Linked DNA regions of Caenorhabditis elegans. The protein of the gene in region 1 interacts with the protein of each later gene in a pairwise test. Each region holds a gene or a part of one and is shown on either strand. Other genes may lie near its edges.

The links.
Region 2: the proteins of lin-10 (region 1) and egl-9 interact in a two-hybrid assay, tested with the Caenorhabditis elegans proteins (one study listed by BioGRID).

Annotation. Positions count from the first base shown.
Region 1 is NC_003279.8:8,115,882-8,121,036, reverse strand, and holds the start of lin-10 (Protein lin-10), read left to right. Parts: upstream 1-1,722; 5' UTR 1,723-1,723; coding exon 1,724-1,874; intron 1,875-2,519; coding exon 2,520-2,758; intron 2,759-3,357; coding exon 3,358-3,447; intron 3,448-3,655; coding exon 3,656-3,707; intron 3,708-4,170; coding exon 4,171-4,394; intron 4,395-5,155. UniProt on the Caenorhabditis elegans protein: Required specifically for the determination of 3 vulval precursor cell fates P5.p, P6.p and P7.p during late second and early third larval stages; required for basolateral localization of receptor tyrosine kinase let-23.
Region 2 is NC_003283.11:10,466,453-10,471,784, forward strand, and holds the start of egl-9 (Hypoxia-inducible factor prolyl hydroxylase), read left to right. Parts: upstream 1-2,064; 5' UTR 2,065-2,072; coding exon 2,073-2,147; intron 2,148-2,491; coding exon 2,492-2,620; intron 2,621-3,947; coding exon 3,948-4,425; intron 4,426-4,470; coding exon 4,471-4,664; intron 4,665-4,780; exon of another isoform or gene 4,781-4,842; intron 4,843-5,332. UniProt on the Caenorhabditis elegans protein: Cellular oxygen sensor which regulates the stability and the activity of hypoxia-inducible transcription factor, hif-1. In normoxic conditions, hydroxylates hif-1 targeting it for vhl-1-mediated proteasomal degradation.

The DNA.
Region 1 (5,155 bases):
TTTTCCATCTTTATATACTCTCTCGTTCATCTACCAGTTTTGTATTGTCCATTCGTCCATCACAAATTCCCATTCATCCCGTCATCTGGTGTATTCTTTCCGTTTTTGATACTTTTTTGTCTGTGCCCTGGAAAAGAGTTGGATGGAAAGAGAGAGTGAAGGAAAACGATGGAAAAGAGCAGAATTAGCATAATTATGACACTTTTTCTCTCGCCTCTTCCCTATTTTTCTCAACCCCGCGCTGCTCGAATGAGAAACGTCTCGAATAGGTTTTAAAGCTTCAACTTTTTACTGTTCTAATGTTTTCATTTATTTCCAAGAATTTAGTTGATCATTCACGATTCCCATGGCTTAGGTCAAAAATTAGAAATACTTTGCGGAATTCTATCACAATGCAGTTATATTTTCACATTTTTAGAACTTGTCCTAAAATACAAGAAGTTATCTTTATTTTCAACATCTGGAAAAAATTCGTTTTCAACATCTAAAGCGACAATTGGAAAATTGTCAATTGAAAGTCATTTAGTTAGCGGCTTACATTAATACAATTGTTTGGTTAAACATATTTTTCAAACGCCCTCAAAAGTCCAAAAAGCACTCGATATTTTGGAGATTAGCAAGCACGGCATAAAAGAAACAGCAAAAAAAGAAAACGACACGTGTCATATATTTGGCTGAGAAAGTAGGGATTAGAGTGTCGAAGAAACATGACAAATGAATTGGCATTCAGAAGACGTGCATACATGGCACGACATATTGCTTCGGGAACTCCTTACACTGCATTTTTTGGTTTCCTCAATGTATATTTTGTTTCACGATCAGTCTCCGCTTGTTGTTCTTTTTTCTTATGCTCCAGTGGGAAAAATGTTAAAAACTACACCTATAGTGCACCCATGATGAAAATATCATTCTAACACTTTCCAACATTTTTTGAAAATGTTATATTTACATTAATAGCAATTAATCAGTTTCCACCTATCATAATTGGTCCAATACATTGTTTAATTTTAAGTTCGCTTCAATTATTTACAAGTGAACCTAGAACCTAGGTCTTCGCATTTGCAGCATTGCTCTAAATTAATGAAAAACTCCAATTTTTTTAATTGGCAATTTACCAACATTTTCATTTGAAAGTATTTTATTTAGATATAATAATAATAATAATTTATTACGCTCGCTGGGAGACGTGAAGGAATACAGAATACAAAAGTTATCATTGTTCGCTTGTACTAGAATTGGTGCAGTCGGGCAATTGTTTCCATTCCATTAGAATGTTGTCCTTGTCCTTGCGTTGTCCTTGCGTAGACTCCCCCATAGTGGGCGAGCGATTCCCGAGTGAAAATATGTAGATTTTTAGATATGTAGATATGTAGATATGTAGATTTTTTACTACATAATTGTAAGTCTGTGTAGATTCGAACTCCATGTTGTGTTACAGTACTTCCGAACACGATCTTAAAACTTTTTGAGCATCTCCCATTTTCTCATTTTAGGAAAAAATTTAACTTATAACTTCGAGGTGACAATTGTTAATTCTAAATTTTCCCACGTTAACTCTCTCTCTGTCTGCTTCTCTCTTGTCCCTCTTCTTCATCGCTCTAATTAATTCGCGTGTGAGACGAGAGAAGAGCATCCAATAATCCATGTCCTTTTCCCGCTTCCTCTCTCTTTCCCTCATCTTCCTATCTATTTTCCATCGGACCATGAACAATTCTGTTGCAGGATGTCATCTGAAGCAGTAGCACAAGCCACAGCCGCCACGACGTCTCCTGAACACGGGGTCCCCACATCATCGGCCACGCCTACTCCTCCGCCGAGCAAAGGGGGTGGAGCCGGTGGTGGTGGGGGAGGAGAGCAACAACAAGTCCCATTTCGTTAGTTTTACAAGAGATTTTGAATTAAAGTGTAAACAAATATACCAGACTTCAAGTTTTTTGAGTGTCATTTTTCAAATTTAGATGGTGTGTTTAAATATTCCCGGATCTTCAAAAATCTGATGTTTAGATATTTGAAAAAGCAAGACAAAATCAAATCAGTTAAAAAAAATATGAAAAAAACACAATAACACAGAAAAAAGGCTCTGAAATCCAGATAGGTTCAGTCTGATTTGCCAGCCCTAGTAAGACTATATTAACTTTTCGTAAGGAATTGCTCCTTCGTTTTGGTCAACCTTTCCTCAAATATTTTCACTCGAAGAATAAGAAAAAATAGAGGGGATATTATTGTTTTTCGAACCTTCTCGATTAAAAATTCCCTGTCTTCTCCTCTTCTTCTTATTTTTCCCCGCCGCCGCCTGACCACAAAAATAGGCTATTATTCATATGGCTGGACGTCTTTCATGTTGCCTTCCCTACAAAAATCTATTTTACACGGAAGTATAAGAAAATATTTTAAATATATTGCACTAGGAAACTTCTGTGCACAGAATGAAAATGTATGACATTGGTTATTTATATTTGCTTACTTAACACAATTAAAATAGGAAAAGCTTGTTCTTCAATATATTCGATTTTTTACAGAAATGATCCCTCCTGGTCATTTTTTCGCAAATCCCTTCTTGAATCCGTATATTCCAACAGCGGGTGCTCCTGCTCAGGAGGGTGAAGCTCAACCTCAGATGGTATTCTCTCCAGCTCAATATCAGGAAGTCATGCATCATTATTTTCAACAAATGATGGCCGCGAGTGGAGCACAGTTTCCGATTCCGTTTCCCATGCAATTTCAGCCGGCTCTTCAACAGCCAAGACCTTCTTCTCAGGTTTGTTTTATAAAGCGTTATTTTACAAAAACAATTGAAACACTGTCAATTTTTCATTAGAAGCAGTTTTTAAAACTGGGGTTGATAAGCTTTAAAAAAATGAAGGAAATGACATTAGTCATCAGAAAATGTATGTTTCGCAATTTTGGAACATTGTTGTACAACTAGAAAAGTTGCGAAATTTATTTTTGCAGAAAGAACTATTTTTAGAGCTCTCGAAATTGTTTTATTCACAATAAAAACATGTGAACTGGAAAAACCATATAATTTTCTGATTTGGCGAATTTGCCACAATATAATAACCTAAGACATTACATGCTTATTGGATGTTTGATGATGCATGGCTGACACCCGCTCGAGGCGTGTGAGAGGCGCCTCCGTCACTCTCTGCCGGCTAGAAATTCTAATTTTGATGTAACCTAGTCAAGCTCACAAGAAGTTCACAAATTCTTATTACAAAGTTATGCTTCTGCATTGATGCAGAACAGTATTTGATATTTCTAGACATTGAAATAGATCTAGAAATATATTACCAAAAGCAATGCATTTATGGCTCCCAAAATTCTCATCTGCACTTCATAACCTTCAAGTATTCTCAGGCATCATCATCTCATCGCTCAGAAGACGATAACGGAAGGCAGACAGCTGGCAGTGTTGTGTCCTCTAATGTGTCACCAAATCATCGAGAGGTTCGTTTACGGCAGAGCCCAAACACTTGAACTCACAAGCAAAACGCTGGAAATTAGGCGAAGTGATGACTTGGGGAGCTTCTTCATGTTCTTCCTGTAGCTCTAAAATAAATAAATGTGGTTCGGGAATTTAAAAGATAAAATTTTAAAAAATGTTCATTAAAATATACTTCTAGTTTAGAAATCAAACTCAGTCTTTAATTTTTAGGTGAGACCAGCAGAAGATTCTACGGAAACAAGCGGCGTTGTTCAAAATAATGGTTAGTTGGTTTTTCACTTTTAGAAATTCAGGCCAAATGCCAGAAGATCAGTCATTATCTCAAACGTTTGGCGTACAGTTTTCACAGAACGTATTAAGTTTCCTTCTTCGTCTAGTGGAATGTAAAACTCCAACTTTAAAAATTTCGAATAAATTGCATTTTCCAAAAGTTCTTCAGAAAATCTTCAAAAAAGATCCAGCATGTATCTCATTTGTCACAAGTGAGCATGTAACACGAGAACATTTTGGTGAGAAGAAGAGACAAGAGAGATATCTCTGCGTCTCTTATCATCTCACACTCTCTCTTTTTGCTCAGCCGATTTACTAATTGTTCCATGTCCGAAAGGAGTTGTACGTCTCCCACCATCATGTCTGGACGGAACTTAGAGACCACACGAAAAGTTGAAGGGATTTCCCCTGAACATTTTTCTAATTGTCAATTTTCAAACCTAAATATGTTTCAGATGAGCTTCTTGTACCAACTTCCACGTCATCCGATGTGACAATTGGTGACGTCATCGAAAAATCAGATTCTCCTGAAAATTCGCAAGAATCAGCGGGAGGAGAGGAGAAAAGTGAAGAAAAGCGGAAATTATCCGGTGATCGAACGGATTCACTCATTCGAAAACAAATGAGTGAAATGGAAAAAGAGATAACACGACGATCACAGAATAAAAATATTAAAACGGTATGTCGTTCGGTTTCGGAATTTTGAGAATTAATTCTTGAAAAAAAAAAGTTTTTCACTGAAATCTATGATCAAAGTTCCTAAAGCCAAATGTGAAAAACTCAATTTATGGAGTCACATAGTATGCGCATAGAATGTGCAAGAAACCTCCAACTTTCCCAAAAATAACAACTGTTTTCGAATATTTGGAATATGCCAAAACTTTGACACAAATTTTTGAAAAAACCTGAACATTTTTGGCTGTTGTTTTATTTCGATAGACCTTTTTTCTTTTAGACCTTTCTACATGTTTTGGCAAAATTTCCACTGGCGCTACACCACTTTTAAACAATAAGCATTAGACCATTAGAACTGTGAACTTTAGATATCGAGGCCAACAAAAATTCGAATATTTTTCCCTTTGGAACAATTGTCTCTTTCTGCACATCCTCGTAACAAATCAAATAATCTAATTTTTGTCTATCTACAACTCTCTTTTTCTACTAAATCTTTTTTGGAGACTCCTGCCCAATTTCACAAATGCACTCACTCACTTCTTCTTCTCCTTCCTTTCTCTTATTTTTTGGCCCATTTTCCACTCACTTTTTTCCATCAAAATCCTCGTTTTCCGAATTTAAAATATTGATTTTCATTCAAAAAAATGTAGAGTCAGGTTTGCTATTTAACATAGCCTATAATAATCTCTAAGAATGTTCCTAGTTTTGTTTTTTTCGGGGTCCTAATTTAAAATACAAAATCACAATTTAACAACTTGGTTATCA
Region 2 (5,332 bases), on another chromosome or scaffold:
AAACGTTTTCCTCAGAAAAATACTTGATAACTGACAATTAGTAATGCCTTCATTTTATTCTTAATAACAGTCCTCAGTTTTCAGGTTATACTTAATTCTTGAAAAATCAGCATAATGTGCAACAAGTTATGCTAAAGATTAAAAAAAATTTGCATCACCCACGAAAGACCTCAAAGACCATTCCTTTCCGAATCTCCTCACACCTTGTACCACATTGAGATAGTAAAGAGATTGGTGGAGAAGCAGAGTGCGCGTGCATGTGAGCGTGCGCTTTTCACGTTCCAACACAATCTGCGTCTCCGTGCTCTCATCTACCATTATGTCTGTGTCTCTAACTGTCTTACCAATTTTTCATTTGCGCACGTAGACAGTTTTGGTGTCTCTCTCTATCTCTCGATTTCCTCCTATATGCGTGTATGTGTGTGAAAGAGAGAATGAGAAGAAAAAGAGAGAGAAAATGAAGAGGAAAGATCTCCCGCTTCGTCATTTTCCGCGCATTGCATTTTTTGTTATGCTCTTCCAATTAACTGGGTAAAGCATCACGGACTTTTCAATTATTATATCAAAGTTCTTTTTTTTAACTATCAAACAATTATTCGATCTTCTTATGACTACTGTACCTGATTACACTTAAATTTCCTAAAACTTTTCCGAAGATCTACTCTTTTATCTATTCAAATATAAAAGAGTGATCTTTGGAATAGGCAAGAAACATGTCGCAAAAGAGTGCACCCATCTGTCTCACATTCCTCTCTCAAAACTCTTGTTCCTTCCATATCTTCTTCTCATTTCTCTTCGTTTCAATTTCTGCCCTCTTTCGTAAGGTGTGGGAATGTAAAAAAGTGCGTGACGTAATATGTTCCATCTCTTTTTCTCTGGATTGATGCAACCTTGTTTTGACACCAAACACCCTGCACAACATTTTAGAACATAAAAATTTTAAAATTGATGAATAAAAAGTTATTACCATGTGATGAAGTTCAGTCAAACTTGTTTAGCATCTCATTGGTGTTCACTTGATTGGTCATAAGATTTCTCTTTGTTTTTTCTTTGCTGAAATGTACATATTAATTCAAGTTTTGAAGAAAAAATACAGATATTCCTTATTTCAAAGCTTTGTCTCGTTATTCCCAAAAAATGTGTTTCTATGTTCATGCCATCTGGTGTATAGAGTACAATGTATCGTAAATTTGTTCAGTTTAATAACTTTTAAGAAAATCGTTCTTGATTTACCGTATCAATGATGAAGGTCGAAGTGATTTCCACCGAGAAATCCTAAAATTATTTTTAAAAATTGCAAAGAAATAGTCTGTAACTTCCGTTTTGAAACCGTTTCTTTTGTGTTACTTGAATTAGTTTAATTTTTTATATTTCTGAACTTTTCTTTCGAACGTTCTCATTTCATTTTTTTTTCAAAGGCCGATTAAGAGTGCACTTTAATTATAAGTGTTTCCGGAAACTATTGAAGAGTAGTCCATACTACACATTCCTTTTATATCAAACAATTTTTAACCTGAATAACACGTCTTTTAAACGTTGAAATCAAATTTCATTTGAAGGTTAACGGCATCAATTGACAGATAACTTTTTGAATCAATGAAACCATATTTTGTTATTACTATTTAGACAATATACCAGGATAATCCCTTGTGATTTCTGTTTTACTTCTAATCTATATTGTTTTCTTGATCAAATTTGTTCGATTTTCTTTGTCATCGTGTCTCTTTGATCCGTCCAATCACAACCACCACACATTTCTTTCACCGTTCATCTAGTACTGAGAACAGTTTTTTTCGTTTTCAATTTTTTTTTCTTAACTTCTTCGTGTGATAAACGGCAAAATGTCGTCGTGCAAATCATCAACGCTAAGATGGACATTTTTTTTAATGATAAGAGAAATGCAAAGAGAGAGAGAAAAAAGCACGAGAGAGAGAGAGAGATGAGCACACAAGACACGCAAACAATCAGTTTCGGTGCCACGTCGTTCATTTTATCACGTTCACATATTTTTCGGTTATTTTCTGATCACTGCCAGATACTGAATGTGACAGAAAAAAGTTGCAGCACATGACATGAGCAGTGCCCCAAATGATGACTGTGAGATCGACAAGGGAACACCTTCTACCGCTTCACTTTTTACAACGCTGGTATGTTAAACTACTTTAGTTAGAAAATTTAAACTCTTATTACCAACCTTTGAAAATTGAACACCTAAAATGAATTACCTAAGTGATTTTTAAACAGTTATTACTCTGTTTTCTGAAATTCACTATTCAAAAAATCTGTAAAAAGGATACTGTACTTCTGTATGTGGTGAACACTGCATCAATGGGACTAGTTTATTAAGTCTAGCAATTTTGAAGTTTTGTTTGTAGTATGGAACCCCTATTCGCATTAGAGTTAAAAATCACTGAAATCGTACATTTTTCAAAAAAGCATAACTTTTCAGAATTACATATTTGGGTCACATTAATAATGAATAATTATTCAGATGCTCAGTCAACCATCTTCTTCTACAGCTGTTTTACAGTGTACATATTGTGGAAGCTCGTGCACATCTTCCCAATTGCAAACATGTTTATTCTGTGGAACAGTGGCTTATTGTTCCAAGGAGCACCAGGTTGGTACCGTAGGGTGTATTCGTTGATCAACAAAATAATGGGGGTCCTGCTGATTAGATAAACAAGTGTTCTCACGTAATCCGTCCCTTCTCACGATGCATCTACCCTAAATCTGTTTTTGACTCTAATTCCTCCCTTCTTTTCGAATTTTTGAACTGGCTATTTATGGGAATCAAATCTAGTTCCTGTTTAAAATTATACTTTGTTTCTGACAACTACTTCCAATTATAGTTGTCTTATTTTTGTTGAATTTTTCGGAAAATAACCTGAACCTGCATATCGCGCAAGAACGTGTCGATTCGAACATTTCGGCTGGCTGCCCTCCTCCCGAGAAAGAGCTTTTTGAAGCATATGTGCGCAGACAAGAAAGACAGAAACATTTGTAGACCAATGTCTGTGTTTACTGCAAAAACATCAAAATGAAATAGGGGAAATAGATGATGACAATAGGAAGAAATTTTAATTTCGAGAAAAAAGCTGTGGCAGCGATTTTAGATTTTATCGACGGAATTTGGACGGAGGATTGTAGATAACCCAGAAAAAGTTGTGACGTTCTCAAGAACAATAGTCTAGTTATTAAAAGTATTGAAAAAGTTCTGAAACTTGTTTCGTTAAAAAATATAATTTTCAATAAGAACCACTAATAATATAATCATAGTGACCCTCTACATTTAAACTTCCTAAATTATTCAGCATAAAAGTTGGGAAATATCAAACTTTAACAAAAGACGGAAACAATTCTTAGAGGTATATGTTGTGGCCATAGTATACTATTAGACGAGAATATGTTGCTTCAAAATATTTTACTTCCTTATTTGAGTGCAACAAAAATCACAATATGATTCATTCGTATTTCTAAAACTTTTCCTCTTTTGTGTTCCCATTGTCAACTTTTTGATCTTATTACTTTTCTAGACACGTCCATCAACAACATGCAAATAAAAAATTTGTTTAGTTTCCCACGTCGTTTCATAAATATTCTGATTTATGCTCAACAACTTATTTTTCTTACTAAACATCACACCTTTCTCTCATTAGACATAACCCAAATCAAGCCACGCCCGTGCACTTTTCACAAATTGAAACATCACAAGTGTCACGTAGACAATTTTTTTAAAGCGACTTATGGATTTCAATTTTTAGACGCTTGCAATTTTTTAATTTATTTGCCATAGATGAGATCAAAATTTTGAATACAATTTGCTAAAAACACATGCAAAAACAAAATGAGGAAGTAGAGGGTATTATTCTTGTTCAGTATTTCAAATAGTTCTACAACTTTTAGTTTTTCCAATACGAAACTCAGAATCAATATCTAATTTCCAGCAACTCGATTGGCTAACACATAAAATGATATGCAAGTCACTTCAAACAAGTGGCATGGTGCCAAGTAATTTGATGCCTCAGGCAGCACCTGCTGTTATGGCTCCAATTCCACCTACTGTTTCGTTTGATGATCCTGCACTTACCACGTCACTTCTTCTATCTCTTCAAAATAATCCAATTCTGAATCAAACTATTTCAAATTTTCCGCCAACATTTTCGATCACATCGAAGACCGAACCAGAGCCATCGATTCCAATCCAAATTCCACAAAGGATATCATCAACAAGTACAGTACCGTTCAGTAGTGAAGGAAGTGCATTCAAACCATACAGAAATACGCATGTGTTTAATTCAATTTCTTCTGAATCAATGTCTTCCATGTGCACATCACATGAAGCATCACTTGAACACATGTCATCAGCTTCCCTTGCAATGTTCCCAACAAGTAGTACTGCTCAAAGTGATATCAGTAGACTCGGTAAGCTACCAATTTAACAGTTTTTTGATATAAAAGATCTTTAAGCTCAAGTTTTGAGTCTTGCTGGAGATTCACCAGCTTCGTTGGCTCTTGTCACAACTTCGGTACCGTCAACTGCTTCCACAGCAACTATTCCACCTCCAGCGACAACGACAAGTTCAGCTACAAGTTCAGGCAAAAGCGAGACAATAACTGTTGGAAAAGAAAAGATAATTCAAACTGATGATCCGGATATTCAGGTTAGTAAACGTAATCATCTAAAGTCTCATCGAAAGGCCAAAACCTTTTTATTTCCGTATTTCCATGTTAGTTTCATTGGTGAAAATACCAACTATTTGATGTGAATATGTGTATCTAGGCTCATGCCAACGTGCGGATTCTGCGAGCCCTCCCGAATTTTACGTGATTTGTGAGAAGCGTGTGTGTGTGTGGAGCGGACGGCAATGCTGCACAAAATGGCAGTTAAACCAAGCGGTTAGAAACAGAGCCACACAGCAACAAAATAAATTGGCTGGTCGGTTTTGTGCTCTCTGAGTAATTATAAAATGGAAGTGAACTCGATTTGTTTGATGTTGATAGGAACGAGTAGACAGGGATGGATCACGCGTTCAAAGGGTTCGGAGATGATAGTAGTAGACAGTGAGTCAGGTGACAGAAAAATTCACTTTTGATGAAGACTGGAAGTTTTATAGTGAGCATACTTGATATTTTTGTTATCTCTTCAGAAAATCTGATGAGCACTATTGAGTTAAGAAAATATCATGCTTTTTCATTCCGTTCAGAAGTCCTTCCGTTTAGAATGGAAACACAAAAAATGTAGTGGAACATATGAATTCATTTTCAAATGTCTATTTTCATCTGTTGATCCCAGCACGATTCATTATTAACTTATAAAAAATTTCTACCG